Linked DNA regions of Saccharomyces cerevisiae S288C. The gene in region 2 interacts genetically with the main gene of each other region. Each region holds a gene or a part of one and is shown on either strand. Other genes may lie near its edges. The genes, in order: BEM1, YDJ1, MDY2 and TOR1.

Region 1 (7,895 bases), on a different chromosome or scaffold from region 2:
ATTAATAGTGATTATCATTTTAGCCTGTCCTATCGCTAATAAAATAAAGAGAAAGTATCTTTGGGCTGCGGTTACGTAAGCTCAGTGTTCCAACAAGAACAGCGCCACAATGAAATCTACGCCACTTCATTAAATCGAAAGGGAGCCACATTATCCTTTGACACATATGGAAGCACAAAAGCATATTTAAGAATAAATATGTTCAGAATTTTTCTTGTAGTCTCTTCTGAATTTTACGTCAGCAATATAACTTAAAATACCTATAATTCATGCATTATGATTGAGTGGAAATATTTGGCTTTTTGTACGTTTTTTTTTACATGTGGTGTAAAATCTTTCATATAATTCATTTTCAGGTGAATTTAAGCTTAGGTACCCAACTTTACATTTGAAGAAAAATATAAATAAAAAATATTTCCAAGTGGTCTAAAAAGTTTAAGCAACTTTCTATATACATATATGTCCTTATTTATTTTTATTACAAATCACGCTGTTTCGGAAGAATTGGATACCTTAATATTATTACTGTTCGGGAGAATCTTATTACTCTCGCAAATCATCATAAAGTTGATTAAAATGTTCAACCTATGTGCATCTGCCAAGTAAAGAAGAAAAATGCTTCGTCTTCTAACACTAGATTCAAATATCGTGAACGGAAATTTTCAGTTTGGCTTGGATTATGTTACTGACTTGTGAATCAGTCTTAATTTCCTCCCCGCTACCATCAAATAATTTGGTTTGTAATTTAAAATTATCTGTATCAATCCTTGGAGCGATTTTACTACGAAGTTCTTTATAGGTTGTGTCACCCTTCAGCATTAAAGCAAAAATATCGTCTTTGTAATAAAATTTAATTTTAGTAGTTTTCAATCCAGAAGTTGATTGGGCTGGAGCCTGCTTGGAGCCCGATAAAGATAAATCTGAGAGTTTCTTGTTTAACTTCAAGTCTTCGCCAGTTAAAGTGTTGTCTTGGTTAGTTGAGGCAAAATTAGAAGTTTGAGATGCTGTTGCAAAGGTTGCTGTATCGTTTTCTTGTAATGTTTTAATATTGTTTTGATTTTCGTCTCTTTCAAATTCTCTGTCGAAACCATTATTCAAAACAACGAATAAGGAATGCACCATTTCTGAGCGAGATATATAATCGGGAAGATTCACTAGGTCTGCCACATATATATTCAAGTCCTCCTTTCTTTTTTTTGTTATGCTATTGGTAACGTATGGAACGGGTCCAGGGATATAGGGCATTATACGTTTGGACCATTGTCCACCTGCATCCCTCAACTTACCGGCCTCTGCTGGGAACGCATCCAAAAGTTGAACCTGCAGATCGTAGAAATCTTGATAGTATCTTTTCAGTTGCCTCGTCTTACCGTTAGATAATTCACAGCAAACCAAAAACCAATACTTCTCATCTTCTAACCCAAAGGATTCAACGGATGCTTTCACTAATAATTCACCGTCAACCAGCTTTGCGCTTTTGTTCTGAGGTTTTGTAATGGATTGCTGCTGCTGCTGCTCCACAGAACCAAGGCTAATATTACTAGCTTTGTATCTTGCAATGTTGCTTTTCCATTCTTGAACAGTTGGTAGGTTAACTGACTTGATGTCTTCTATTACGTCGTTACCTGTTGCGTACCCCGTGGCAATATCTATGATGCTAACAAACCCAACAGGAACAAGGCCGGGCCCTCCAAGTCGACCAATTGGCTTAGCAATGAACCATTCACAGTTATGGTGGGCGCAAATAAACAAATTCTCTCCCACATAAGTTGTCAACTCATCAGCTTTTTCTGCCTTAAAGTCATATAAAACAATGGCGTATAACGATCCCATGTTTAATGAATCATTTGTAACCTTCCGACTTGAACTATTGGATCCATTCACAGAGGAAGGTTTAGTTCTATCAAACACTTCAAAATAGGTTTTGGGGACAACACCCTCTTTTCCAGTAGAAGGATTTGAAGCTTTATACCAATCCTTCTCATCTCCAGATACATAAAAAAATTCACCTTCCATGAAAGATAGTTCCTTTGAAGTTTGTGCCTGATAACTGTATTTGGCTTTTATAACTTTCTCTGGAGAAGTAATATCTTTAGAATTATGTCTGTTTTTTGGTGAAGAGTCCCGTTGGCTTTTCACTGGGGTGGAAGATGAAGAAAGGTACCTCACTGGTACTGTCTTAATATGCTTTATAACACTCCCATTATCATGAGAAGGTGTGGAAATATCTGCGGATGTAATTCTGCCCTTCGACCCATTACTATCTCTTTTTGAGAGTTTGAAGTTTTTCAGCATTTATATGGCTTTCTTGACAATTTCTTTTCACACAGTGCTTTCAACGTGCATCCATATGGGTTTAGTATATTAGTGAAAACATATGCTGATTAAGATGGTACATCAAATTATGGCTGTATTGTCACTTTCTTTTTTTCCTGTTCGTAAATGAATGGGGCCCTTCGCCATTTGTCCGTTTAGGGTAATATTAGTTAAGAAGCCGTTAAGGCCCGGGAAGAATGTCGAATAACAATAGATAAGAGATATTGTAAAGTTTTTGGATTTCGGTTTACCATATTGTATTGAAATGATTGAAAATATAACGACATTATAATTCCATATTATCAAGTGACATTTTTGAGGAGTAGCTTTCTCAAACCAATAATACCTTCAACAATACTATCTACTGGCTGAGAAACATTTCATTTTCCATGAATGTTCACCTGTAACATTTTTAGGTTGCTACATTATAAACTTTTCTTAATTCCATAATATATATCTATCTATGTGCGTCCTAAATTAAATCATAAAACCCCAGATGTGATGCCGTTCTCGAAAGCAGCGGCACAAATTCTCAAAGCTAATGTCTTCAATACATTTCTAACTCTTCCTCAGACATAGAGTGTCTTATCCAGGTTGCCTGGCAATTTTGGTTGTCTAGATCACTCCAAGGAGTGAATTTGCCTGGTACACAATTTCCATTACACCTATCTGAATCTGCTGGACAAGTTGGACAGTTCGTGTACGGAGTATGGTGATAACCTATATCCCTGAACCAATGGATGCTTGACTTATCCGCAAATAAAGCAAGTGCCAAACTTCTTACAGGGGCATCACCCCACCTTTCATAGTAGAATCCTCCCTTTTCTTCAAGATATTGCATATATTTTTCATAAGGTTCTGACCTCAAAAAGTCTAAATCGACTATTTCAAAATTGGTCCAGAAATGACAAGTTGAATACCCTTGAGTATAATCATAATTTTTTGGATTTTGAGAGTTATCTTTTAGCCATGCGAAGGCTCCGTTGACGTTCAAATAGTTTGGGTGTTCCTCGACAAAATCCATAGTTGAAGTCCATAGCGTTTCGATGGTTTGCGGACTATCATAGAGGTTCAAAACAAACCCATAAATCTTGTCATTCTTGTTCATAAATTGGAAAACGTCATAGTTAATTTTGCAATAGAAATTCACGTTTGGCTCTAATCTCCACACATATTTATATTTAGATAGCAGAGGATGATGGTAAAATTCTTTAGAATAGAAACGACACATGTTATGATAGGATTCCACCTCTGCATACTGAATGTTCTCTTTACTCATTTTGTCCATTTCTTGGTCGTATCTCTCCCTATCTATGCTATCAGGCATATTCCAGTTATCTGGACCAATAGTGCCAAATTCTACTACACGGTCCTTAGGAAGAATACTTTTTATTCCATCTTTGAATTCGTCAGTAAATTCCTCATCGTTAAGGAAGGTATAGGGATATCCAAAATTCTTATTGTACTCCTCTTCTAGCTGTTGAATAGAAGAAATTATATCCTCTAAATCAGAATTTCTCACCAAACTCAAAATAGTTCCTTTTGCCTTGCCGGCTAACGGATCCCCGCTACGTACCAAATTGTCCACCTTTGGCTCAGAAATTTCTTGAAGTAAAAACTCCTCGTACAACTGTTTATTTTCAGCAAGGACTTCATTCGGGTCAAAAGTGTCCTTTTCATAAAGGGGCTCGTGTAGCCTGTCCATTATGCTATCTAACACCTCAGCATCATGATCAGGAAGTTCATCAGCGCTTTCAGTTTTACCTGTAATACTTTTGTAGCTCTCCCGGAGAGAAGCATACTGGGACTTGGCACTATCCTTGACTGCTTGCAAATAGTTCTCATTCGCCGTTAAAAAGTAAAGAACAACGGTTACGGCAATCGATATTAGAATGATCACTGAAAGTACAGGTTTCAGTATCCTTTTTGAAAGAAACCTCATATCAGTTCGTATGGTTCACCTTGTTGGGTCTAAACTAAAAATTGTGTTCTGCTGTAACGGCCTATTGTATATTATACAGCCGTGCAACACCGTGAAAGTATCTGCATATCAAATGGTTCAAAATATTTCACTACATGCAGTTAGAGAACGTCTTATAGAGCTCGTTCCGTTGAATGGAATTCTCCCCTTAGCCGGGTAAAAGTAGCTGTAAATATCATCTTTTACGGGTTCAGATGAATTGTTCAAAAGCAAAAAAGTTTCAAGATTTCAAATGAAGTCTACAAAGTGGCAGAAAGAGCAATAAAGCAGGCATAAGGGTAGGAAAAGAGAAGGAGAAAAGATACGAGAAACTCCGGGTTCAAGTTGAGATACTTGAAAAATAAGAATGTCACAGAAGCAAAGTACGAATCAGAATCAAAATGGCACGCATCAGCCACAACCAGTAAAGAATCAACGAACTAATAATGCTGCTGGCGCCAATTCCGGCCAGCAGCCACAGCAACAGAGTCAAGGCCAGTCTCAACAGCAGGGGAGGTCCAATGGTCCGTTTTCGGCGTCAGACTTGAATAGAATTGTCCTAGAGTACCTGAATAAAAAGGGATACCACCGTACAGAGGCCATGCTGAGAGCCGAGAGTGGACGTACACTAACACCTCAAAACAAACAATCACCAGCAAATACTAAAACAGGTAAATTTCCTGAACAATCATCAATTCCTCCGAACCCCGGGAAGACAGCTAAACCCATAAGCAATCCAACTAATTTGTCATCCAAGAGAGATGCAGAAGGTGGTATAGTATCTAGCGGGCGACTAGAAGGGCTCAACGCACCTGAAAATTATATACGTGCATATTCAATGTTGAAAAACTGGGTAGATTCGTCGCTGGAAATTTACAAGCCGGAACTAAGCTACATCATGTACCCAATATTCATTTATTTATTTTTAAATTTGGTGGCCAAAAATCCTGTTTACGCCCGTCGTTTCTTTGATAGATTTTCTCCCGATTTTAAGGACTTCCATGGCTCAGAAATTAATAGACTTTTCAGTGTCAATTCTATAGATCACATCAAGGAAAATGAGGTCGCAAGTGCTTTCCAATCTCACAAGTACAGAATTACTATGTCTAAAACCACTTTAAATCTTCTCTTATATTTTTTGAATGAAAATGAGAGTATTGGAGGTTCATTAATAATTAGTGTAATAAATCAGCACCTAGATCCAAATATTGTAGAATCAGTAACCGCAAGGGAAAAATTGGCTGATGGAATAAAAGTTCTCAGTGATAGTGAAAACGGAAATGGTAAACAAAATTTAGAAATGAATTCTGTTCCTGTCAAGCTGGGACCTTTCCCAAAAGACGAGGAGTTTGTTAAGGAGATTGAAACTGAATTGAAAATTAAGGATGATCAAGAGAAACAACTAAATCAACAAACTGCAGGTGACAATTACAGTGGAGCCAACAATAGAACCTTATTGCAAGAATATAAAGCTATGAATAACGAAAAATTTAAGGATAATACTGGCGACGATGATAAAGACAAAATTAAAGATAAAATCGCCAAAGATGAGGAAAAAAAAGAGAGCGAATTGAAGGTGGATGGTGAAAAAAAAGACAGCAATTTATCTTCGCCAGCACGTGATATTTTACCTTTACCACCAAAGACGGCACTAGATTTGAAGTTGGAGATTCAGAAGGTCAAGGAATCTCGTGATGCCATCAAACTAGATAATTTACAGTTGGCCTTACCAAGCGTGTGCATGTATACATTCCAAAACACAAATAAAGACATGTCATGTTTAGATTTCAGTGATGATTGTAGGATAGCGGCTGCTGGCTTTCAAGACAGTTATATCAAGATCTGGTCACTCGACGGCTCATCACTTAATAATCCTAACATCGCGTTAAATAACAACGACAAGGATGAAGACCCAACGTGTAAAACTTTGGTGGGGCACAGTGGTACAGTATATTCAACAAGTTTCAGTCCGGATAATAAGTATTTACTTTCTGGTTCTGAAGATAAAACCGTCAGGCTATGGTCCATGGATACTCACACCGCGCTAGTAAGCTATAAGGGCCATAATCACCCTGTGTGGGATGTTAGTTTCTCCCCGCTAGGCCATTATTTCGCCACTGCATCGCACGACCAAACCGCAAGGTTATGGTCATGCGATCACATATATCCATTAAGAATATTTGCAGGACATTTAAATGATGTTGATTGTGTGTCATTTCATCCGAACGGTTGCTATGTGTTTACGGGATCCAGCGATAAGACGTGTCGAATGTGGGACGTTTCTACAGGCGACTCGGTTAGGTTATTTCTTGGACATACTGCGCCCGTCATTTCTATTGCTGTTTGTCCAGATGGTAGGTGGTTGTCCACTGGTAGCGAAGATGGTATTATTAATGTATGGGATATTGGTACCGGCAAAAGGTTGAAACAAATGCGTGGCCATGGTAAGAATGCCATTTATTCCTTATCATATAGCAAAGAGGGAAACGTACTTATTAGTGGAGGTGCCGATCATACAGTCCGTGTATGGGATTTGAAAAAGGCCACTACTGAGCCAAGCGCAGAACCAGATGAGCCATTCATTGGATACTTGGGTGACGTTACTGCATCTATAAACCAAGATATAAAAGAATATGGTCGCAGAAGAACAGTAATACCTACAAGCGATTTAGTAGCGTCGTTCTACACCAAAAAGACGCCTGTTTTTAAGGTCAAGTTCAGCAGAAGCAATTTAGCCCTTGCAGGAGGTGCTTTCAGGCCATAATTCACACTGAAAAAAATAACAGCATGGAAGTGATATGTAATAAGTATAACCTAATCCGATATGTAACTATTAGATGCTTTTTCGACATCGTACTTGACCTGCTCGGCGGTTATCATAGCGTCTTCTTTAGCCTTTTTTTTTTCGCTCAGTCATCGGGGCCAAAACAAGAAAGGCGAAGAACAGAAAAATGAAAAATGTAACTGGTTGTTGTAAAAACCTTCCAGAGAAATAAGATGAAATGTATGTTGCTGGCACGAACGAAGACAAATAATGGGAGTGAAGCAAACCCCACCAGTCCAGGTGAAAGTAAGCGACGCGGATTCCACCAACAGAAGGAAATCTAGTAGCCAGGAAGGAAACCCTCAGCTGGTTCAATTAAAGGCAAAGAGCGACAAAGATAAAAGAAAGGGATCTTCAGATTCCACTGCCTCTATAATGGGCAGTTCCAACGCACTTCCGACCAAAAACCTAACCACGCCTCCAGCACTAAACCCCTTAACGACCAGCATTAGTAGGGGTAATACTGCATACGAAAGAAGCGTAAATGGTAGCCGTATAACAATGCACTCAAACCTGGCACCTACGGAGACGCAAGACGTATCATGGTCTGAAATCGATACACTGGATGATGTGAAGAAGATGGCGAAAGAACCTATCGTCAACGACGGGTTCCCACGAGATTTTGAGAGCAATCTCACGCAAATGCGCAAGTCGCACGCTCAACTACTGCGATTAATGAGGGAAAGAAATCAGCGACTAAAGTATGCCAAGCTGAGGAGCCCTCCTCATAAGGATCAGCATAATTCTGCCACGAATAAAGATCAAGAACCAGACGAGGTATTGCATGACCCGGAA
Region 2 (7,216 bases):
AATTTGATAAAATGAAACTGTCCGCCACCACTCTTACCGCGGCTTCATTGATCGGTTATAGCACAATCGTTTCCGCTTTGCCGTATGCGGCTGATATTGACACAGGATGTACTACTACTGCTCATGGTTCACACCAGCATAAGAGGGCCGTTGCAGTTACATACGTTTACGAAACAGTCACTGTCGATAAAAATGGTCAGACCGTCACTCCAACCTCAACTGAAGCCTCTTCTACAGTTGCTTCCACTACTACTCTGATTTCCGAATCTTCGGTCACCAAGTCTTCTTCCAAAGTTGCTTCTTCTTCTGAGAGTACTGAACAAATCGCTACCACCTCGTCTTCGGCTCAAACAACTCTGACATCTTCAGAAACTTCTACTAGCGAATCCTCTGTGCCTATTTCCACATCTGGGTCAGCTTCCACATCTTCAGCAGCTTCCAGTGCAACTGGAAGTATCTACGGTGATTTGGCTGACTTTTCAGGTCCATATGAAAAATTTGAAGACGGTACCATTCCTTGCGGCCAATTTCCATCTGGTCAAGGTGTTATCCCCATCAGCTGGTTAGATGAAGGTGGCTGGTCTGGTGTTGAAAATACTGACACTTCTACGGGTGGCTCTTGTAAAGAAGGGTCTTACTGCTCATACGCTTGCCAACCAGGTATGTCCAAGACACAATGGCCTTCTGACCAACCATCTGACGGCAGATCCATTGGTGGTTTGCTATGTAAGGACGGCTACCTGTACCGTTCAAATACAGATACTGACTATTTATGCGAATGGGGCGTTGATGCCGCTTACGTCGTCTCTGAATTGAGCAACGATGTTGCTATCTGCAGGACCGATTACCCGGGTACCGAAAACATGGTGATTCCTACATATGTGCAAGCAGGTGACTCTTTACCCTTGACTGTCGTTGATCAGGACACCTACTACACTTGGCAAGGATTGAAGACATCCGCGCAATACTACGTTAACAATGCCGGTATTTCTGTCGAAGATGCTTGTGTTTGGGGTTCTTCAAGTTCAGGCGTCGGTAATTGGGCTCCATTGAACTTTGGCGCTGGTTCTTCTGATGGTGTCGCCTACCTTTCTTTGATTCCCAACCCAAACAACGGTAACGCATTGAATTTCAATGTCAAAATTGTCGCCGCTGATGACTCTTCTACAGTCAACGGTGAATGTATCTATGAAAACGGTAGCTTCAGCGGTGGCTCTGACGGTTGTACCGTTTCCGTTACTGCTGGCAAAGCTAAGTTTGTTCTATACAACTAAACTTAGGCGCATCAACAGTTGAGTAAGTTGATTGTATTATTACCCCATTCTTTTCTGCCCGTCCATTTTATTGTCTGTTTAACATACACTAAAACCCACGCCGGATTAATATCAATTTTTTTTTACTTTGTTTCTATTTATCATTCTTCCAGACATAAATTATTTTGTAATATTAAAGACATTTGAAAACCTACATACATCGCACACCTCTTCTTTCATTGTCCTAAAAACCACCCAAAAAAAAAAAAAAGACATCAAATCTCTTTTTTTTTTTTTTGTAGTTCTGTTGCCGTATGCTATCTACTCCTAAGGCTTTTTTCTACTACGGCAATCTATTCACAATGTGCAATTAGGCTAAATGCTAAAAAAAGAAAAAAAAATCCGGAGCCCCTCGATGACTCCTGTTTCCGTTTTATACTGTCCAGCGCAGACCGCACTTCCTACGTATACTTCTTACGGGGAAGGGAGCATACACGAAAACAAAAGGACCCGTAATGACTCGGAAACTCCATAGATCGGTAAATACCGGCTCGTTACCCGTCCTCCATCGGAAAATCTCTCACCGATTTGTTCCGGTATCGGATAATTTATGAATCACCCGGCTTGATGGAACCGTTTTTGTTCCGTGAAATGCCCGGCCTGCATTGTTTTCTTCAGACGAGAAGCCGTTCCAACGTTTCTTTTTCTCGTCACCGGGAAGTTGCGGGCACCTTAGGGCAAGGAAAAAGAAACTTCTCTGCCCTCATCGAGGATACAGTTGATCATACTCAATATTATATAACGCTTAACACTGTCAAGGTTATACACTTTTTACTAACTTTTTATTGCTAATATTGTCGTTCTATATAAAATTATGGATTTTTCCAGGCTTACAAAGTTAGCATTTATACGGAGATAAATTTATTTTTTTGAGAATCCAAGCTAGATTCAGAAAGTCGAATCAGCAATGTCACGAAGTAACAGTATATACACAGAAGATATTGAGATGTATCCTACTCACAATGAGCAGCATCTGACGAGAGAATACACAAAACCAGATGGTCAAACGAAAAGTGAAAAACTAAATTTCGAAGGCGCTTATATCAACAGTCACGGGACTCTATCCAAGACTACCACAAGGGAAATAGAAGGCGATTTAGACTCTGAGACTTCTTCTCACTCCAGTGATGATAAAGTTGATCCAACCCAACAGATAACTGCAGAGACAAAAGCGCCATATACTTTACTAAGTTACGGTCAGAAGTGGGGAATGGTTGCAATTCTAACAATGTGTGGCTTTTGGTCTTCATTGGGATCACCGATCTATTATCCCGCTTTGAGGCAGTTGGAAAAGCAATTTAATGTGGATGAAAATATGGTTAACGTTACTGTGGTTGTGTATCTGTTGTTTCAAGGTATATCTCCCACAGTTAGCGGTGGTCTGGCGGATTGCTTTGGACGGAGACCTATAATTTTAGCAGGTATGCTGATATACGTTATTGCATCCATCGGGCTAGCATGTGCTCCATCATACGGTGTTATTATCTTCTTGAGGTGTATTCAGAGTATTGGTATTTCCCCCACAATTGCAATCAGTTCTGGTGTTGTCGGGGACTTCACTTTGAAGCATGAAAGAGGTACATTTGTTGGCGCCACCTCAGGGTTTGTTTTACTGGGTCAATGTTTTGGTAGTCTTATTGGTGCCGTCCTGACTGCAAGGTGGGATTGGAGAGCTATCTTTTGGTTTTTGACCATTGGTTGTGGAAGTTGTTTTCTAATTGCCTTTCTTATTTTGCCAGAAACAAAGCGAACCATTGCAGGTAACCTTTCCATTAAGCCTAAAAGATTCATCAACAGAGCGCCGATTTTCCTACTGGGCCCAGTTAGAAGGAGATTCAAGTACGATAATCCTGATTATGAGACATTAGATCCCACCATTCCGAAACTAGATTTGTCATCCGCCGGGAAGATCCTTGTATTGCCAGAAATTATTCTGTCTTTATTTCCATCAGGGCTCTTATTTGCTATGTGGACGTTAATGCTTTCCTCTATTTCATCCGGTTTATCAGTGGCGCCATACAACTATCATTTGGTCATTATTGGTGTGTGTTATCTACCCGGTGGTATTGGCGGTTTAATGGGTTCCTTCTTCACAGGTAGAATTATTGACATGTATTTCAAGAGAAAGATCAAGAAATTCGAGCAAGACAAAGCTAACGGGTTGATTCCACAAGACGCAGAGATTAATATGTTCAAAGTCCGTTTAGTTTGTCTTCTGCCCCAAAATTTCTTGGCCGTCGTAGCCTATCTTTTATTTGGTTGGAGTATAGATAAGGGCTGGAGGATCGAATCTATTTTAATTACTTCATTTGTCTGTTCATACTGTGCTATGAGTACATTATCAACATCAACTACGTTATTGGTCGATTTGTACCCAACGAAATCATCTACAGCAAGTAGTTGTTTCAACTTTGTTAGGTGCAGTTTGAGTACCATCTTCATGGGTTGCTTTGCCAAAATGAAAGCTGCGATGACTGTAGGTGGTACTTTTACATTTTTATGTGCGCTGGTATTTTTCTTCAACTTCTTAATGTTTATTCCGATGAAATATGGTATGAAGTGGAGGGAGGATAGATTATTGAAACAACAAAGACAGTCTTGGTTAAACACCTTGGCAGTCAAAGCCAAAAAGGGAACAAAAAGAGACCAGAACGATAATCATAATTAATTGGCATTCTTCAATTTGATAGACACTTATCCCTGCATATTTTTTTTATAAACAGCTTATAGACTTTCATGTAAATTTTTCCTAATTAATGTATTATTTACTTCGTTAATTTTCCGTTGAATTATTGACATGTTAAAGGTGCACTAAATATACCTAATACAAAAAATGGTTTTCTGTGGCAAATATATACAGTGGAAATTTCAGCATATAATCCCTGCTTTACTCTTTCCTTAAGATTTCGTCATAATTAGAACTTTTTTTGGTAAACTGCATTTTCTACCATTATTACTTTACATATGTATAGCTACAAAACTGTATTTTGAAGTGAAAAGTATGATGAATAAATGAATCGTGAATAAGTTGATCTTTTTTTATCAAGAAAATCATTGAGATGCACATTGAACACCTTCGCCACCTTGTTCTTCTTCATCGGAATCATAGTTTGCACCACCCCTGGAGGCCCGTGTTCTGTTGTATTTGGCTGGGTCAAAGTCTGCGAGTACACATTCGTCCACAGTAGCTTTCTTTGGAATGGCTGGGACAATTCTTGGAGGCAAAATTTCTTCTAACTTCTTCAAGTTTTCTTCTGATGTGAAATGGTTTTCTGGGAACTTGATAGTAAATTTGATGATTAAATTACCATAGCCACCGTATTTTGGAATTGGCATACCTTTACCTTCGATGACCTTACGCATACCTGGGGCAATAACTTCACCTGGAACAATACCGACCTTTAACCAATCACCAGAAACATGTTCCAATGCAAATTCACCACCAGCGATAGCAGTCAATAGATCAATTTCAGCCTCATATACTAAATCATCACCATCTCTCTTGAAGCTCTTGTGTGGTCTCTCAGAAACTATGAAGACAACATCACCTGGAATGACATCTGGGGCTTGGTCAGCTTCACCTTTGAAAACGATTCTTTGACCATCTTTCATACCTGGTTCGACATGGACTTCTAGGATCTTCCTTTCGTTTTCAACTTTCTTACCGTTACAAGATTTACAACGATCCTTAGGATCAATGATATCACCAGTACCGTGACAGACATCACACTCTGTTTGGAATCTTTGGATCATTGGACCCATTTGTCTTGTTACAAATTTAATACCTTGACCATTACAGCTGGTACACTTCTTGACGGCGCCTTTCTTACCACCACGACCTTCACATTCTTTACATAGGATCTGTTTGTTAAGGGCTAACTTAGCTGTCCTACCCTTATATAATTCTTCAAGTGAGGCAGAAATTTCATGCTTGATATCTTTACCTCTTTGGGGACCTCTTGGTCTTTGTGCGCCACCAGCACCAAAGAATTGGGAAAAGATATCGTCACCAAAACCGAATCCACCACCTGGGAATCCGCCAGCGCCACCAGCACCACTTAGACCATCTTCACCAAATTGGTCATATATATCTCTCTTTTCAGGATCTGATAAAATTTCATAGGCTGCTGAAGCTTCTTTGAACTTTTCTGCAGCTTCCTCACTTGGATTCTTATCTGGATGGTATTTTAAGGCGCATTTTCTATAAGCTTTCTTAATTTCGACATCAGTGGCAGTTACTGGAACACCTAGAATATCGTAAAACTTAGTTTCTTTAACCATCTTTGGACGTTTATTATTGTTGTTGGAAGATGTAGAATTCAGTTTGGATAATTTTTAATTATGTTCTATCAAAAGATATGGTAACAAATAACAAAAAAATAAATACGTAACAGTTATCAAATAAGACGCTTGTTCGGGCCTAATATATATGGGGAAAAGGACTTTTTGTGACTTTGATTTATAAAAACGAACTACACACCTTATCAAACAAGAACTACCTAACCAACATATAAACGTAGAGCAAGTTTTTACACGTTTTATAAGTACGTGGATTGATCTGCAAGTTAAATACTTTCCATACCTGCCGATGCTCTATTGCCTTTTCATTTCTTGAAAAAGAAATGAAAAAATTTTCTATTTTTTCGATGGCCTTCTATAATTTTGTACGAAATATTATAGGTCAGGTGTATATCACGTGCTCAAACCAGCGACTTCACATCTTATTTTATACCAACATACTCATTATAACAATGTATTCCATAGTTGAATACACACAACTCAAACGTGTATAAACGACTTTATTTTGCCGACTCTCTACGGTCAATGTCTTGTTACGTTTTCAAGTGCTTTTAGAAACTCTGCACTCTCTTCCCCTTAACTCGTAGACAAGGAGCGATAGTTGAATGGTAGGAACGAAAAAGAAACGGTTAGAAAGAACATATGCCTCGAATATCTACATCATTGATAAGAAAAGCTTCGAGAATACGACCTGGTTTGCATCTTTTGCTTCCAGAATGTAGGACTCTCGAGCAAGCGAAACTCGAGTACAAATGGCTCACCGAAGAGCTGCCTCCGGATAAATCAATCCGCTGGGCTTGCTTACAGAGATACAAACACGTCCCATTGCAGTACATCTTAAGATCGCAACCGTTTGGGGCCTTGGACATAGTTTGCAAGCCTGGTGTTCTTATACCAAGATGGGAAACCGAGGAATGGGTGATGGCCATAATAAGAGCTCTAAACAACTCTATGCTTTCAAGGCATACTATACCACTGCATATTTGTGATACGTTTACAGGAACAGGGTGTATTGCTCTCGCTTTGAGTCATGGTATAGCAAATTGCACGTTCACTGCCATTGACGTGTCAACAAGAGCAATTAAGTTGGTTAAAGAAAATATGCTGAAAAACAAGGTGAGTGGTGGTAAGCTCGTGCAACATAATATATTGTCCTCAAAAGCTAGCGATGAATATCCATCCCATATAGATATATTAACCGGTAACCCCCCCTACATTCGAAAGCGTGACTTCAATAGAGATGTTAAAACTTCCGTAAAGCTGTTCGAACCAAGGCTAGCGCTAGTGGGTGAGCTTGAATGCTATATAAATCTAGTAAATTATTGGCTGCCGAAGACAGACTCCTTCTTTTATGAGATTGGAGACGTTGAACAGTTTAATTACGTGGAGAGGCGCATTAAAGAAGATTCATATCTCAGCCGTATTTGGTCTATTGGTTTGAAATATGACTCGAATGGGAAAGCAAGAGTCGTATATGGGTTTAAGGCCACTCCCAAAGGGCGAATACTACACCAGATTTTTGCATCCTTTGGGACTATAAGACATTTAGCAACCGCACTCAGTGGGCACAAAGCTAATTGCAACTAAGTATATAAATGTAAATA
Region 3 (6,787 bases), on a different chromosome or scaffold from region 2:
CATGGAAGGTGGCTGCTTAACAGATATATTGGATGCTGTAGCAAGGAGCAATACCGGTGAGCACTCATCGCCGTTAAACGAAAACCAAATGGCATATATAGTAAAAGAGACGTGCCAAGGTTTGAAGTTTTTGCATAACAAGAAAATTATCCATCGAGATATCAAATCTGATAATATCCTTCTGAATTCCCAAGGGTTAGTGAAAATTACAGACTTCGGTTTTTGTGTGGAATTAACAGAAAAAAGAAGCAAGCGTGCCACAATGGTAGGTACTCCATATTGGATGGCACCTGAAATAGTGAATCAAAAGGGATATGATGAAAAAGTCGACGTTTGGTCTCTAGGGATAATGCTTATTGAGATGATAGAAGGTGAACCGCCTTACCTAAATGAGGATCCTTTGAAGGCGCTGTATCTGATAGCTAACAACGGTTCACCAAAATTGCGTCATCCAGAGTCAGTGTCCAAGCAAACCAAACAATTCTTAGATGCCTGTTTGCAAGTGAATGTCGAATCAAGAGCATCCGTGAGAAAACTACTAACGTTTGAATTTTTGTCAATGGCATGCAGCCCTGAGCAGCTCAAAGTATCCTTAAAGTGGCATTGAAATTTAGCTTTTTTTTATTTAGGAGAAACAATATATATATATATGTATATACGTATGTATGATTCATATTTTAATCGCATTTTTATTTCATCTAAAACAATTACTCTTTTTGATTATTTATAGAAAAAAAACAACAATGATACGTTTGCTTCGCGTTATGTCAATAGAAAATGTAAAAGGAAAAAGAATGTGTTGCTATTCGTTAGGCGGATTTACGGATGGAAGACATATCTATGAACTGAGCTTACAAACGCTTTTAGCGGGGACAGTTAATCATTTTACGGATGATTTTATAAGAATAAACTATTTTTGAAAAGTTAGGATAGTATTTTGTACATTTGGCACCGAAGTAATTCAAAATCGAGGAAGACTCGCACACTTTTACAATCACAGAAGGCAAAACCCGGCATGACAGGATGATAATGTCATCAACTATGTCGACAGAAGCCGCCTTGGTACCGAACGAAAGTGTTTTTGACACAGTTTCGTCATTCAACGAAGACGATGCCAATTATAGCGTTCTTGATTTATACGATGACGACGATGAAGGGGATGATAGTTCTACAGTAGAACGAAAAGAAATATTGACAACACGTGAGCTTGAAAAAGCAAAGGCGTTTACCAGCTTAATCATGGCAGATCCTGAGAATTTTGATAGATATGGATTTAGCAAGAAAGGATATTTCATTAGTCAGGAAGAATACGACAAATGGTGGACAGAATATAATAGATACACCGAAAGAAGAAAAAAAAAGTGGGAGAACTTTCTTCTTAAGAATAAGATTGAGCTCCACAATGATAATCCTCTAGTATATCCTGCAAGGACAGATGAATTGTCAAAATTTGTTAGAAAAGGTATACCAGCAGAATGGAGAGGGAATGCCTGGTGGTATTTTGCTGGTGGACAACGACAATTAGACGCAAATGTTGGCGTTTATGATAGACTGAAAAGTGACTGTCGCGAGGGTGCCGTATCTGGTAAAGATATGGAAGCTATAGAACGGGATCTTTATCGAACGTTTCCCGATAATATACATTTCCATAAGGAGTCCTTCCAAAATGGAGAGCCGGCGATCATCCGATCATTGCGTCGAGTATTAATGGCCTTTTCTGTTTATGACAAGACTATTGGATACTGCCAATCGATGAATTTTCTCGTTGGATTGCTATTATTGTTCATGGAAGAAGAGAAAGCATTTTGGATGCTGGTTATTATTACCGGTAAGTATTTACCTGGCGTGTATGAATCAGACTTAGAGGGTGCGAACGTGGATCAAGGGGTGTTGGTGTTATGTATCAAGGAATATTTACCCGAGATATGGTCACACATTGAGTCATCGTATATGAATGGCAATGGCAGCACTGACCAGATATCAGGGCCAGCATCGGGGGAAGAATATCTCTGCAGGCTGCCTACGCTGACGCTGTGTACGGCAAGTTGGTTTATGAGCTGTTTTGTGGGCGTGGTGCCCATCGAAACGACCCTGAGAATATGGGACTGTTTATTCTATGAAGAGTCTCATTTTTTATTTAAAGTGGCTTTGGGGATACTGAAATTGAGCGAAAGCGAGTTTTTGGAGAGTAAAAGCCAGAAACTGTTTAGACAGTACTCTTCGTACACCTTCGGTGGTAGTAATGACTCTGATTCAACTTTCAAAAGATTAAAGAACAAGATTAAGACGCAGGAAGAGGCAGATATGGAGATTTTGCAAGTGATTCAAAATTTCCCAAAAAGATTGCTCAATCCGAATGATATCTTTGAGAAAGTCCTGATGAAGAAGAAGGTTGCGTTGAATGGTATTACCCAGGAAAAGATTGATCGCGGTAGAGAGTATGTGGCGATGGCGAGAAATAGACAAAGGGCGAGTAGCCGCCCAAAGGAAAGAAGAAAATAGTAAGCGCAACCGTGATAAAAAGCGCAACTGTGTAAAATAACAAGTATGTACGTACTAACTATACTAATCTTATTTGGCCAGAGACCAGCCTTTTTGTAGACGCTCCATGACTTGCCTAACCGCAGCCTGATCGTTCTCGAAATTGTTCTTCAGAAGAGCCTCGATATCATCCCAGGGCACAGTGAGTTCCTGTGGAGGAGCAGGAGCAGGGGAGTTAGTGGATTTCTCGGCTTCGGGTTCCTTAGATATAGTCGGATTCGGCTTAATCATGACTGTGATTGTGGAATTGGCAGGCGTGACCTTCAAATCCGATAAGAACAGGTTATCGTGGAGGACTTTGCCCTTCAAAAGCAGTTTTATCTCGCTTATGTGGGAGGCCTTTTCCTCGCTGATCAAGTGCTGTTTTATTTGTAAGATAGTATCTGATGGGCTGAAATCATGCTCGATGGAGAACTTGGGAGCTTGAATTTTCTTTAAGGTTAAGTGGACGGCGGCGTTGTCTTGACCTTGCTGATCTTGGTGCAGTTTTAACTTCTTGGCACGATTCTGCTTATATTTATACTTCAAAGTAGGCAACGGGACACCCAAATTGGTAACATCCTTCAGAGGTTTAGTATAGCTTTTTGGTAGCTTCGGTTCAGTTAAAGTGGCTAAGGTCAAGAATTTACTAACGAACTCGTGTTCTGGACCGCTGGCGGATGTGCTCATGATTAATTTTGTATAAAGTTATTATTCTTCGCTAGTTTATCTCTGTATCGGTCTGTTCTAACCCTTTTCTCCAACTATGTTCTCCTGTGCATGTTTTCTTCTTTTCGTTTTTCCTTTGTTTTTTTTGGTCGTAGTTGTCGCAAGCTCGGCCTCCGGCCTGATTTTAAAACTATTCCTAATTCAAGATTCGGTAAAAAAGATATATAATAGCTAAGGGGAGGAGAGGAATAAGAGGAAAAAGTTACATTAGAGGACAATACTCAATCTAACCCTTACTAGATGTGCGATAGCCATCAAAAGGAAGAAGATAACGCAAATACGAGCGAAAGGGCGTTATTTTTTAATTACCATGAGTTTTCGTATTCATTCTACGAAGACCTCGGTTCCGAAGACGCTAAACCCACAGAGCACGACGAAGACCACAAATTGTGTATTACACATTTCCCGAATGTGTATGCTGCTCGGGGCTCTGCCGAGTTCCAGGTGACCCGGGTGGTACGAGTGCCCCGGCGGTTCGATGAGTCTCGCAGCAGCCTTGAAACGCCACAATTTAGTACACAGCTTCCCGGTAGCGAGCCGGCGGCAATCGTGGGCGACGATGGCACTAGCTTTGTGCGGTGCGGGCGTTACGACATTGGGGATCACGTGTTTGGCTGCTCCTCCGTCTCGCCTCTGTCAGAATATCTTAGTGCGGCAGAGCTCGCGGAGGTTGTGCACCGGGTAAACGGATTCTTGCTGCGTGAAGAAGGTGAGGTGTTCGGGTGGCGTAACTTAAGTGGCCTGTTGCTCGATATGCTTACGGGCGGTCTGTGGAGCTGGGTTTTGGGGCCCCTTCTTTCTAGACCTGTGTTTCAGGAGTCTCTCGCGTTAGAGCAGTACGTGGCGCAGCTAAACTCGCCGGGAGGTCTGCTTCACGAGCGCGGTGTGCGCCTAGTATTGCCCCGACGGTCCGGGTGCCTATCCCTAGATTTCGTCGTGCCCCGACCCAAATAGTTAAACGTGTGGTTTATGGGTGCACCAGGGCTTTATCGTGTTTTATATCGATGGCGATTTGTGCCTCCAGTGTATTTTTGTATATCCAATTAAGGTTTCTTACCTAATTTTATTTTTATCATCTTTAGTTAATGCTGGTTTGCTCTGTTTCTGCTGCTTTCTGTGCGGTTCTCCTCTTCTCTTGTTTCTTCGTGTTGTCCCCCATCGCCGATGGGCTTATATGGCGTATATATATAGAGCGAGTTTTTACGTCGAAGATCATCTCAGTTTGCTTGATAGCCTTTCTACTTTATTACTTTCGTTTTTAACCTCATTATACTTTAGTTTTCTTTGATCGGTTTTTTTCTCTGTATACTTAAAAGTTCAAATCAAAGAAACATACAAAACTACGTTTATATCAATTAATAATGTCTGAAATTCAAAACAAAGCTGAAACTGCCGCCCAAGATGTCCAACAAAAGTTGGAAGAAACCAAAGAATCTTTGCAAAACAAGGGCCAAGAAGTAAAGGAACAAGCTGAAGCTTCTATCGACAACCTAAAAAATGAAGCTACTCCAGAAGCTGAACAGGTGAAGAAGGAAGAACAAAACATTGCTGATGGTGTCGAACAAAAGAAGACCGAAGCTGCCAACAAAGTTGAAGAAACTAAGAAGCAAGCTTCCGCCGCCGTCAGTGAGAAGAAGGAAACCAAGAAGGAAGGCGGTTTCTTGAAGAAATTGAACCGTAAAATTGCTTCCATTTTCAACTAATCACACTTGAATGTGCTGCACTTTACTAGAAGTTTCTTTTTCTTTTTTTAAAAATAAAAAAAGAGGAGAAAAATGCTGTTTATTCTGACCTTTTACATAAATTTTTCTTAATTGTATCTATCTAATAACTAATCAATATAATAATAATAATACTAATAATAATAATAATAATAATAATAATAGTAGTAGTAGTAGTAGTAGTAATAATGATGATGATGATGATGATGGATGATCAAAAGCCACAAAAAAGAATGCTCCGAGAATAACCTCGGCGGTTATTTCACGTCCCGGAGGAAAAAAAGTTTGATAAGAAAGTAAAAATATGAGCGGTACGAGAATCGAACCCGTGTCCCCACCTTGGAAGGGTGGGATGATAACCACTACACTAACCGCCCGGGTTAATTGTTATTAGTTGGTGAAACTGATCTCAATCACTATAACATTATGGTCTCTTAATAGCAAAGGCCAACCAACTGACTTCTTGCAAACTGATGTTCAATTTTAGCTCTAAAATAAAACAATGTAAAAGAAAGATAAAATGACATAAAGCACTATCGCTTCAACGGCAAACAATATTGAAAAAGTATCACATTATAGTAAGTTGAACACTAAAAGATTAAATAAATACTTCGGCACACTTTCGATGAAGGAAAGCATTAGTAGTAACGTATATATATCATTGTTGTTGCTACTTTTCTTTGTGGGATATGCACCACTCCCCTCTGCAAAGTGAAGAAAAGGTATGGGAAGAATTTCTTCGCTTATATTACTTACTTTACCCTACTCCTTGAATCACTGACCACTCTGTCCATCACCCAGCTCCCAAATTAACTCCTTCGGTACTAAATCCCGAATGTTTCCATTTTGTTCTTGTACGGGATCGCTGCTGCTGCTGCTGCCGGTTTTTGCCTCATGCTTAGCTATGATTTGTTTTCTCAGCTTTTCATTCCTTTCATACAACCAACTTAAGTAACTCAAGCTTTTCAGGTATATGATTAGTTCTGACCGACTTTCCTGGGGTTGCAGGTCAGGTACTACTGCTACCAGTTCGTCAAATATAGCTCTTTCCAATTCTCTCCTTTTTTTTTCAGACGAAACATGATTTATACGTATTTGACCATCAGTCAATTTATTAATCTTCTTAGACCTGCGTTTCCTTTTCTTCACATTAGCCAGTTCACCCTTTATCTCCTTAATCTCGGACAATCCCGGCTGTATTGTTTGTATCTCCTTAATATCGTTCGTCATTATTGCTTTTCTCTTTTTAGTTCAAGCCGCCCTCTTAACTCCTTCGTCAAGCTTATCTTGTTGGCATTGGAATTTCGCAAACGCAATCGCGCCTCTGTCTTTAAGGTGAGAAAAACATGTGAATATTTTGTTTGATACGTAACAAGCTCATACAAACCAAGCCAAGAAAAAGAAGACGACTAATCTATTTATAACAAAGATATTTGTTCACTATAATGCAATATAGTTCGAGGTTCCTAGAATTGAATATCCCGGATTCATTTTTAAATATCAATAAGATTCCTGATGCTACTAAATTTATTACAGTCACTTATATATGCTTAACTGCAACCCTTTTCTGTATAAGGAGATCCTTGTACAACAAGCTAGTTCTTGAAGACCCTAACTTGGACTACAACTTGATTACTTCGCCGCTTTTGCAAATGGTACCTTCGCAGATTTGGAGGTACCCCACCTCATTAGTTCTATCCAACTTCATCGACACTAAAGCTTGGAAGGTGGTAGTGAACTTATTGAATTTGATCATTGGTGGATCCTTCATTGAACGCAATTGGAACTCTTCCAAAGAAATGTTCAAATTTATCATA
Region 4 (11,376 bases), on a different chromosome or scaffold from region 2:
GTAAAAGAGTGAAAAATAACGATGAGAAAGGTTTTTGATAGAAGAGAACAAAAAAGGAACAGTGTTACAATAGTATATAGAGATGTCGAATACTTGGGACGATGTATGGGCATCAGACAGTGATGTCGAAACTGAACGATCTCCAGATTTAGTGAAGTTAAGAGAGAATCATAGCAAGAGGGGGTACTTGGACGGAATAGTGAGTTCTAAAGAAGAAAAGCTGCAAGAGGGTTTCAATGATGGTTTCCCAACGGGCGCTAAATTAGGGAAACAAGTTGGCATAATTATGGGGATTTTACTTGGCCTACGAACACGTTTTGGTGATGAAGATGAGGACCTCAGTAAGGCATATATTGATGCTCAAAAAGAATTACGCATTAACAAAGTACTTAGTAAGTCCATATTTGATCCAAACTTTGACTTGCAAGAAAAACATCCGCTCATAACAAAATGGACTGATATTGCCAATACCTATTGTGAAAAGTACCATGTGCCATCTATCCAATAAAGTTGTTTTAAATGGAGTTGATTTCACAATTTATGTACCTTATATCATCCTTCATTTCACATAATGACGAGATATTACAAAAATAATGATAATAATAATAATAATACACAATACTTGCACACGTATACAAATGCGTAATACAAAAAAAATAAATAGTAAACAAAGCACGAAATGAAAAATGACACCGCAGTCACCAGAATGGGCACCATCCAATATAATGTTGACATAACCTTTCAATAGAAGTGGCTTGTTGGATCAGTTTATCAACCTGCTCAGGGACGTCTAATTCATTGAACCTCTTGATATCATTGCCCGTTAATTTATCTGTAATACGTCTCAAAACAAGCATTGCTCTGGCGTTTTTGGTCTCATTTTGTTGTTCTGCTTCCATATTTGCCGCTTCTTCGACAGTAATTGCCCCCTTCCTTAATAATTCACTAGGATTAATCAACGGCAAAGGAATTCCAGTTTGCTCAGTAAGTTTTTGTGGCGGTAAATCAAATCCCCAATGGATCAAAGGATCAAGCGCAAAAGCTTCCAAGATCGCCATTAATGATTCTTTATTATCTCTTAAGACTCTCATGACATTTTCACAAGTAATTCGGAAACTGCCTTCAATTCCACTAACTTCCATTGCGTATGTTAACATCCTAGTTAGTCTAAATGGCACTTTTTCTGGATACTTTTCTCTTAAGATGGCAGCTTCAAAACAATCGCCGAAATCAATGTGGATAACTTTACCGGTGATTCTATCTAGCATCAGGTTGCTTGGATGGCGATCACCTAGTCCCAGAATATAACCAGTCATGGACATAACTGCTAAAGATCTCGTATAAGTTGTTCTACGTTCTAGCCATGTCTCTGACGACCTACTCTTTAACCATAATATTTTATAAAGGTCTTGGCCTTTTGTATTATCTAAAGCGTACGTGAATACTTCAATTTTTTGTAAAAGAGTCAAATTCTCATAATCGGGGGCCATTTGTAACATAACCCAATGTTCAATGTTCAACGGAATTTTTTTGGCATCACGGTGTTCTCTGATCAAAACGTGGAATGTGTCACTATTTGGTACCCATCCTAGTAAACCAGATTTAGGCGACAATGGAATAGCCGGGTATTGTTGGATATCCAAATGTCTCTTGAAACACTCTGAATCATTCTTCAACAAAGTGTTAACTAGACCAAATAATTGCATAACAAGGCTATCTTGTCTTATATCTTCATGTCCCTTTAAAACGTATTTATAATCTTTACCGTCGCTACCCTTGATGGAGAATTTTCTTGGCCTTTGCTTCGAAGAGATCACAGAAAATAATGGCTCAAACTTCGCTATTCTAATGGTAGGTTTTCCTGGGAAATATGTCCCAGGAACAGCCAATTCGAGATCATGAGTAGCCAGAAGCTGGGGAGAAACATGCTGTAAGTCTAAGGTTTGTAACTGTGGTATTTGACGTGTTATTTTTCTGAAGACGTTATAATAAATATCCCAAGCTTGGTTCAAATTATTGATGTCTTTTGACTTTTTGTAGTTATTCAACCATTCGTAGGCATCGTTCAAATCTCTACCAAATGATTTCTGAAACGATACCTCACTTAACGTTTGAGGCTCATTGCCTAAGTGTTTATGTAAAGGTTCTAAAGTAGAAAACATTTTTTCTATGTTATGTTCAACGAAAAATTGGCGGCTCGCATCTTCCAGTCCTTCATACCATAATTCGTGCCATAGAACGGCTACTCTGATCAACTCGTGACTAACTAATTCTGCCTGGTTTACCAGGACTGGACTATGAATCCTAATTTTCTCTATTATTGAAAGAGCCGCTTTTTGTCTTGAAACAGATTCAGACTTGATCGCGACAGTTAAAGGATACACGAGAGCTTGTGGATGAGCTTTCCCTAAATCAGAAAGCAACGACAAAAGGGAATTACTCACCGTAGGATCTGGCTGATGTATACGAGAGATCAACTGTGGTAAGACTTCAAGCCAGTTCTCTATTTTCATCAAATTGAAGCCTTCATACATGGCTTGTGAGACTTCTTTAATACCACCAAAGTTAAATAAAAGAGTCAATAACCTCAACGTGTCTTGCAAACAACTTGTTTCTAATAGAGATATTGAATGAAAAAAGCCCTTGATCGCTGGAACAACATGTCTTTGAATAAGCTCTAGCGGGTATCTGTTGCCATTAATAGTCAAAGAACCACTTCCTAGGATACTACCGTCAATCCGCACATTATCATTATTAACTGCCGTGTCATCATCATCATCATTCTTACCTCCGTTGAGCTTAGTCTCTTCCTGAACCATGGATATTACTTCAAAATTAGCTAAGGCCCAATTATGCCATGCCTTGTACCAATTTTTATCGAAATGTGTAGCCAATAGATAAGAACCAAGAATTGCATCCGGATTTGTGTTTCTCCAGTTCGGTTGTGTTGCTATTCTCCACTCACCTTGCTTTAAAAAACATCGAGCTAATAATTTTGTGTATTCCTCAACATACGGAGCAGTACTTGCACTTGAGAGTTTGACACTTTGCGCGATCATATTATTCGGATCCAAACCAAGATCATGCGCTAACCTGGATGTAAATCCTATCAAGTGGTTTAATGCTTCTTTATAAGCTCCTGTAGCCCAAATATATTTTAGTTGCGCGTAAACAACTGGGGGAGGAGCTTTGAACGTATTTGGTAAACTAGGATCGTTGCCTCCTTCTAGTAGCATATTCAATGCCTTATTTGCTAGCCTCATTCTACCAGATTTTCTGCACAAATTTGCAAATTTTATCCATATTTGCAGGTCTTGCTTGGGCTTTATTACCAATGATCTTACTCTAAGCACTCTTTGCCATAAATCGACATTTTTTTGGCAGCCCAGCAGTCTTTTTGTCCAAAGATTTTGATAGTGAAGTTTTTTCTCGGAATTAGGTGGCAATTGTTTATACTTGATGATTTCCTCAAACTCTGTTATTATTTGAGTTCTAACAATAACGCTATATGCTCTATTATAACTTTCATTGATCAACGCGGAAATTTCAGTCACAAGCAAATCTCTGGCGTTTAATATATGCTTACTAGCATTGTCGTAATCATTCTTGTGCAAGTATAAAATTGCATCAAAAAATTCCTTATCTGGAGATTTAGGTTTCATAACGCTGATATATTGCTCAAGCATATCCCACTCTCCCAACCCCCACGCAGCACCAGCTGCCAAGGGAGCTATTAGCTTCTTAGTTTGTAGCTTCGAAACTTTCCACTTTCTAGCTGCCAATTGCGACAACTGTTCCCATTCGCCAAGGGCATGAAGGGATCTCATCTTACCGAGTGTAACGCTCACGGAAGTATCACCTGCCTTTTCACGTTCATTATAAGCATGTAGTGCATCTTCCCAACGCTCTAATTTTTCAAACCATGTCTCCTTTAATTGAAGTGAATGATGTTGTTGGGCATGCTTTAATATACCAATTGCAGCATCCGTTTGATTCAGCTGGTTGTTAATGCTGATCAATGATTCAATAGTTGAGTTCTCAGGCTCTTTAATAAATTTAATCTCTTTATAATGTAGCGCTTTGGCATAGGCGTGACATCTTTCAGCATACTCGCCCAGGCTTTGAGTTGGTATTGGTAATGCCTTGTCATCGTGTTCCATAAATTCTACCAGGTTTAACAATGTTTGATGTATTTCTGGTGGATTTAAGGGAGAAGATAAGGCTATACATAATGACCCAATTAAATCTTCTTGATATTGGCTATAAAGTTCGGTCCAAACACATGCGAATGCGGTATTAAAAAGTTCTTTGGCTAGTGGATAATACATGCTTGCAAGATTTGAACAAGCTCTTAGAGCATGGGAGGGTGACTCTTTTAATAATTGAATGGATAGACGTTTGCTCCATTCCTGCCAATCTTCTTTAGTTCTTTGTTGGCTAGAATTCCATGCACTTTTCAAAACTGATTGGTTTATAGGTAATTTTGCGACCCCAGCATCTGCTGCCTCCATTTGTTCCGCGGGCTTATAATCCGTTGTATTTGCTTCAAGAATTTTTGTGGGTAAAACATCATTGTTTAATATTCTGTTTGTCAAGTCATCATATATTGTGTGTTGAATATGTTTCTTCATTAAAACTTCATTAATGACAGGGATGAAGATAGCAAAGGATGTGCCCATTTGTATTAGCAGTAGACTTAAAGTATTCATAATGACTTTTGAGAGTTCGTCACTCGTTGTTGAACTTAGTACCCTAAGTAAAGAGTGAACAATTCTTGAGGACATCTCAAAAAGGTCAACATCCTTGGCCAGTTTGCCAATAGTAATTATTGCAGACCTTTGTAGGTTCCCGCTGGTGAATTCTGCCATTTGAACTATCTTGGGTGTAATCAAATGCGAATAACCTTCTAAGTTAGGACCAAACGATTCTAACAGTCTCAATACCCTTCTGGAGAGGACCTTGTCACTAGACTTGTCATTCTCCAAAATTACAAGGAACAAGGTCAGAGTAAGAGGGACCAATCTTTTGAATTCACCCTCCAGAGCCTTTGATATTGCTTCAATAACACTTACAAGCGTTATTTGTAGCTTAGCAACCGAAGAAAAATCTTTGATAGCCTGGAATATAGAATCGACATGAGGTCTTATGTGTTGCCTTACGATAATAATCAAAGAGCAAAGCTGTTGGAAGTAAAATTCTAATAGTGACTGAGAGCATGTACGCATTACGTCCAAAATAGTTGGGATGATCTGGTCCAAGAATGAAACACATTTTAGACCAAGGGTTTGAAAAATATGCATAATCGCTTGGATCACGGCAGTGTGGTAAGATGATAGGGATGGATCTTTTAGGATTTTTAGCAGGCAGTGAATGACAACAGTGGTATAATACTCATCATTCGAAGGAGACATGCCCTGCATGAGAAGAGCAATGTCGATAGGCGGGGCGTTCTGTTCTGTAGATATATCGGTAGTAGAGGTAACCTCACGTTCTTTTTGGCGATATGGGTCGATAGCTCCCAGTATACCTATCAAAGTGACTGTTTGTCTCCTAATATTTTGAGAGTTTTCTGTCTTCAATATATTCACCAATATACCCAATAATTCGGGATAGTCGAGTAAAGGATCTATCACGTAACCAGATGAGGCTGCAAGTTGACCAAGGGCCTTAAGTGCAGCTTCTCTCTTGAAAGAGTTTGATTGATCCTGAAATGTTTTGATAATTAAAGGAAACAAATCCTTAAGATATATCTTCATATCTTCGCCCCCTACAACAGATAGCTCACCTATAGTTCTCAGTGCAGTTGATGCAACCGTTGAAGAGGTATCTTGGAATTTTGGTAAAAGAACATTTAAAAGAGGTTCGATATAAGGTTTCGCAACATCTTTACTCGACCTGATAAGAGTACATAACAAACTGGCAGTTTCTTCCTTTTCTCGAGAAGAAGTTGAGAATTTTAATTTTGTTAGCAGTTCCAGTAGTATTTTTCTTATCGATGGGATGACGTATGCAGGGTTTACGGAAGACAACCTACCGACAAGCTCCATTGCTACTGACTGAATATTGAACGACTCATCGTGCAGTGCAGTAAACAAGAGTCTCAAATTATCTGGTTGTGCCAACTGGGGATCGAAACATGGATTAAGATTCTTTAAAACTTCTAAACGGATATCTTGTAAAGGGTCCGCAATCGTAATGGCTAGAAGCTTTGATAACACTTCAGATACAGTGTTCAGAGAGTGTAGTGATGTTTGTTTGCAGATGTTATCCTTGACGTAAATTTCACAAGATGTCAACGCAGCTAGTTTCCTTACTCTGGGATCTGTATGCTCAATGTAAGAAAGTGCAACAATTCTCACGAATTCCACCAACGAAAATCTGCTTTTGATATTTTTTAACATTCTAAAAGCTTGTATAATGATTTTTATATCATTATTATCATCGTTACTTTCACCAGTTTTCTGTAGGATGTTTTTATTTCTCCATTCTCTTGCTCTTTCTCTCGAAAACGATGGTATCTCCATTGGTGACCCTGGCTGGATAAATGGTGTTCCAGATAAGGTTGAACAGACTAGGTTAAGCAACTCGTCATTTATTTTGGGGCCTAGTGATGGTATTCTCTCAGTCAGAATTTGAAACGTTTCCTGCATATAGTCGGAAAGAGGGCATTTGAACATCAGGTCCAGTATATTTCTGTTTAATAATTTACCTAGAACGGGGCCCAAGGGAACTGCCAATCTTCCGATGCAGTAGAAAATTTCATTTTCAAATTTCTTTCTGAATTTGAATTTCGTCTGTAAATCATGTTCAATATAATCAAGAATTTGTTTCACATAAGGTGCGATATCGGGCCCGACTTCATATGCAATATCACCAATCGATATTAAAATCTGTGGTTTGTCATCTTTGAGATGTGGTATTTTATTTGCTGGAGCATTGGTTAAAATCTCTAAATAGTTGTCCATAATTTGGTGCAAATATTTGCCAGCAAATAATTGAGGATTGAACGATGCTAATAGGGGAACAATCTGGTAAATCTTTTCTCTAATCATTTTCGCTTTATGATTTTCATAAGCTATGCAATTTAGACACATTTGGTCGAACACTTGATTCAAAAAGGGATCCTTCAAAAACAAGATTTCCTTATAAACCAACAAACTTGCATGGATGCATTCTAATGTGTTTACTTGAAATCCGTATTCACAACTTGTAGCCAATCTCTGCACCCACTGGCTAGTTAACTGAGGATCCCTATTTCGTAGGGTGGAAAGACATTTGGCCAATGTAATGGACGCATCAATTCTGATCACCAAATGTGGGTCTCTTAGTGCTCTCCAAATGTTATCTAGTATGGAATTCAAGTATTGGTAGAGTAAATAAGGACAATTCTCTGCCAACGCTGTTATAATCAGAAGCGCAGCATGTTTAGCATGGTCTGGCTTCGAACTCGAGAATGAATTCTTTTCCGTGGAGGCAGTAAGCCATTCTAAGCAAGACTTTATCTCAAATTCCACGAAATCAGAGGTATATGTACCTCCTGGAACGGCTAACTTGCCCAGAGTCTTTGCAGCGAGTCTCATGACCTCTACATCATTAGAAGGTATTAGCCCTCGAAGGTAACCAGCCAGTCGTGAAGTTTCGTTAGGCAACCTTTCAGTATATGCGTAGAATGAAATCAAAGTGTCTATGGATAGAACAGCCCCTACCCTAGTGCTCGTTTTTTTTGTATGGACCAGCTCCAAAATCTTATTGTTTATGTCATTTGAAACTGCTTGGAACTCTTCTATCGACAATTCATGTTCCAAGGATACTAGTAGATCAAATAATGAAATACTGGCCAATTTTCGTTCCTCCTTGTAATCACTGGTTAATTCGCGGAAAATTTTCTCCAAAATGGGCTTAAAATTTACATCCCCATTACTGCCAATCACCACTCCATCAAACCTACTAGAAGTCAGACCGAATTCATCCCCGTTCCTGCTCGCATTCATTTTCATGTTCATATTCACATTCAGATTCGGTGCCAACGGCACATTTCTATCCATGTCCATATCGTTGTTAGCCGCTTTCAAAAGTTTACTCTTCCAAATCTGCTCCTCATGCGGTTCCATATCAATGCAAACCTGCTAGCCGGTTGATGTATGTTTCACTTTACCAATGACTCTCTCGTGAAGCTACTATGGCTCTTTTTTAACGTAAGCTCAAGAAGACCCTTCGATAAGGACTTTCAGTAGTCACCCGGCTGTCCGCGGCTTCAAAATGGCGAGAACCCCTTTTCAAAAGTTTCAAACAAAAATATATGAGAGTAGTTTAATCAAGAATTGGCCCTACCGTAAGGCCTCACGATTGAGCAAGAAATTAGGATTCAATGTCATACTTAAACAATCCCGCTGTTGTCATGGACAATGGTACCGGGCTGACCAAGCTCGGTTTCGCCGGTAATGATTCTCCCTCCTGGGTCTTCCCTACTGCAATAGCCACAGCTGCACCTTCAAATACAAAGAAGTCCTCGGGCGTTGGTGCGCCCTCAGCAGTTAGTAATGAAGCATCATACTTTGGAAATTCCACCTCTGCAACCAATTTCAATGGTGCAACAGGTGGTTTGCTGTCTAATAATTTATCCGGTAAAAGAGGTACAGAAGATTTGGATTTCTATATTGGAAATGAGGCTTTAGTAGCATCCCAAGGACCCTCTTACTCTTTGAGCTATCCAATCAGACACGGTCAAGTGGAAAATTGGGATCACATGGAAAGATTCTGGGAAAATTCCATCTTCAAGTATTTAAGAACAGAGCCTGAAGATCATTTTTTCCTATTGACCGAACCACCACTGAATCCTCCAGAAAACAGAGAGCAAGTGGCGGAGATTTTTTTTGAATCATTTAATTGTGCTGGTCTATATATTGCTGTGCAAGCAGTTTTGGCTCTGGCTGCGTCATGGACCTCTTCAAAAGTCACGGATAGATCATTAACTGGTACTGTTATAGATTCTGGTGATGGTGTCACCCACGTCATCCCAGTGGCGGAAGGTTACGTCATTGGCTCAGCAATTAAAAACATTCCAATAGCCGGTAGAGACATCACATTGTTCATCCAATCCTTGCTAAGAGAACGTGGTGAAGCAGACACTTCCTTGAGAACTGCCGAAAAGATTAAGCAAGAATACTGTTACGTCTGTCCAGATATTGTAAAGGAGTTTAACAAATTCGATAAAGATCCTTCTAAATTTGCCCAATTTGTGGTGGAAAACCAAGAAAAGACAAGGAGAAAAGTCGTAGATATTGGTTACGAAAGATTCTTAGCACCTGAAATCTTCTTCAATCCAGAAATTGCATCCTCAGACTTCTTGACTCCTTTACCCACGGTAGTGGATCAAACTATCCAGGCTTGCCCTATTGACGTCCGTAAAGGTTTATACAACAATATTGTACTATCAGGTGGGTCTACCATGTTCAAAGATTTTGGACGTCGTTTACAAAGAGATCTAAAGTCTATCGTAAATAACAGAATCGCACAAAGTGAGCTGTTAAGTGGAACTAAATCGACTGGTGTAGATGTTTCCGTGATTTCTCATCGGAAGCAGAGAAACGCTGTCTGGTTTGGTGGCTCGCTGCTGGCACAAACAGCCGAATTCAAAGGCTACTGTCACACTAAGAAAGATTATGAGGAATATGGTCCGGAAATTGTTAGAAATTTCAGCCTTTTCAACATGGTTTGATTATTGAGTCATGACTCATCTTATAAGGAAAAAGGTACAAAAACAAATGCAAATAACTGAAACGCCCCTCACTTCATTTAAATATACGTATACAACTGATTATATACACGTATATGTACAATCAAGTAACCCCAAATGCTGATCTGAGAAAAAAAATTGTGGGATATGTGATTAAAACTTATCTTTTATTATTTATTTATACAAAATCAATACTCATCTTTACCACTAATGATGACGTTATCAATCTTTAAAATCATTCTACATAATTGAGTAGCTAAAAGAATTTGCTGCTTTTTGCCAATAAATGGATCAACGACAAATAGTTCCTTCATGTCATTAGACCCGTAACCTAAGCAATCGACACCAATGTTGGAAATCTTTTCTTTCAGTTGTTTACTTTTCAATGTAGACAAAGTTCCGATTGGATCAAGACCAGAATTTTCAGCCAAAGTCATTGGAATGGTGTCTAACGCTTGGGCGAATCCACGGAATGCATACTGATCAATACCACGTTGCTTATCAGCTTCCTCAGAGACAGCCAGGGACATAGTCACTTCGGCTGCTCCCCCACCGTAAACTACACGTGAGTCTTTAACCAAGTTACGTACCACACATAGTGAGTCATGCAATGCACGTTCAGCTTCATCCACGATCATTTTATTGGAACCGCGAACAAAACATGTTACAGTTTTTGTTTCTTTACTTTGCTCGATAATCAGCATACGATCCTTAGTAGTACCAAACTCCTGCTCGTAAATTCTGGAACATGTACCTAATTTATCCTTAGACAAGTCTTGAAATCTTGGAACAATGCGACCGTTTGTGGAAATGGCAATGTGTTCTAGTTCTTGGCCACCTACCCATCTTACGGCAGGTAAATCATTCTGTAGAAGTAGATGATTGGCCTCATCGTCAAACCCCCATTGGCATATAACAACATCTGCGCCCGCTTTCTTCACATCGTCTATCATTTCTTTGAACTTATCTTGTTCATAAGTCTGTAATTTTTGGTATTCTTCTACTGAAGAAATGTCTAATTTATGCTTGGTCTTTGGTTTAGGAGGTTCAAATGGACACGTTAATATAGCTAACTTAACACCATCAGAGCCCTCTTTTGGTAAAACACATTTAGGCATTTGTGGATGAGAAAAATCTTTATCCAAAATGACACCATTAATCAATTTTGAATCGCTTATAGATCCGCCAACCCGTCCTTGCATTTTGATTAAATCGAAATCCACGTCTTTACGATCTTTGTCCATGACATTTATGACGGCTTCCACAGCCATTTCAGCAAATCTATCATGATCCTTGGAAACAATTTTGGAGCCCAAAGAAGTTTTGGCGGCCCTCAATAAAAAGTCCCTGAACAATTCATCGTTTGACGCAGAAATGTCGTCACATGTTTCTTCTAACTTGGAAATGGCTAATTTGGCGGCTTCATCAAATCCATTAGCGATTTTGATTGGATGTATACCCTTTTGAATTAACTCCAATGCTTGGTCAAGTAGCGCACTTGCCAGAACAACAACACCAGTAGTACCATCACCAATTTCATCATCTTGAGATTTGGAAAGTTGTACTAACAACTTTGCAATCTCATTATCTAGCTCCATTTGGGACAAAATTGTAGCACCATCGTTAGTGATGGTGATTTC

Evidence for each region.
Region 1: mutations in YDJ1 (region 2) and BEM1 together harm fitness more than expected from each alone (negative genetic interaction), as found in Saccharomyces cerevisiae (3 studies listed by BioGRID).
Region 3: mutations in YDJ1 (region 2) and MDY2 together harm fitness more than expected from each alone (negative genetic interaction), as found in Saccharomyces cerevisiae (4 studies listed by BioGRID, with this or other methods).
Region 4: mutations in YDJ1 (region 2) and TOR1 together harm fitness more than expected from each alone (negative genetic interaction), as found in Saccharomyces cerevisiae (4 studies listed by BioGRID).

What each region holds. Positions count from the first base shown.
Region 1 is NC_001134.8:615,272-623,166, reverse strand, and holds BEM1 (phosphatidylinositol-3-phosphate-binding protein BEM1), read right to left. Parts: upstream 2,296-7,895; coding exon 640-2,295; downstream 1-639. Other genes in the region: YBR200W-A (uncharacterized protein), read right to left, coding at 20-184; KTR4 (putative mannosyltransferase), read right to left, coding at 2,864-4,258; TAF5 (chromatin modification protein), read left to right, coding at 4,644-7,040; YBR197C (uncharacterized protein), read left to right, coding at 7,311-7,895.
Region 2 is NC_001146.8:501,504-508,719, forward strand, and holds YDJ1 (type I HSP40 co-chaperone YDJ1), read right to left. Parts: upstream 5,595-7,216; coding exon 4,365-5,594; downstream 1-4,364. Other genes in the region: putative glucosidase SUN4, read left to right, coding at 12-1,274; AQR1 (Aqr1p), read left to right, coding at 2,221-3,981; MTQ1 (S-adenosylmethionine-dependent methyltransferase), read left to right, coding at 6,255-7,199. UniProt on the Saccharomyces cerevisiae protein: Probably involved in mitochondrial protein import. Is also required for efficient translocation of pre-pro-alpha-factor. Involved in heme regulation of HAP1, as a component of the high-molecular-weight (HMC) complex.
Region 3 is NC_001147.6:105,687-112,473, forward strand, and holds MDY2 (Mdy2p), read right to left. Parts: upstream 3,211-6,787; coding exon 2,572-3,210; downstream 1-2,571. Other genes in the region: putative serine/threonine protein kinase SKM1, read left to right, coding at 1-607; Rab GTPase-activating protein MSB4, read left to right, coding at 1,024-2,502; SHR5 (Shr5p), read left to right, coding at 3,490-4,203; ZEO1 (Zeo1p), read left to right, coding at 4,611-4,952; INO4 (Ino4p), read right to left, coding at 5,745-6,200; YOL107W (uncharacterized protein), read left to right, coding at 6,416-6,787. UniProt on the Saccharomyces cerevisiae protein: Required for efficient mating. Involved in the production of alpha-factor, the KAR9 and TUB1 location to the shmoo tip and nuclear migration into pheromone-induced shmoos.
Region 4 is NC_001142.9:556,151-567,526, reverse strand, and holds TOR1 (phosphatidylinositol kinase-related protein kinase TOR1), read right to left. Parts: upstream 8,112-11,376; coding exon 699-8,111; downstream 1-698. Other genes in the region: YAE1 (Yae1p), read left to right, coding at 83-508; ARP3 (actin-related protein 3), read left to right, coding at 8,369-9,718; chaperonin-containing T-complex subunit CCT5, read right to left, coding at 9,925-11,376.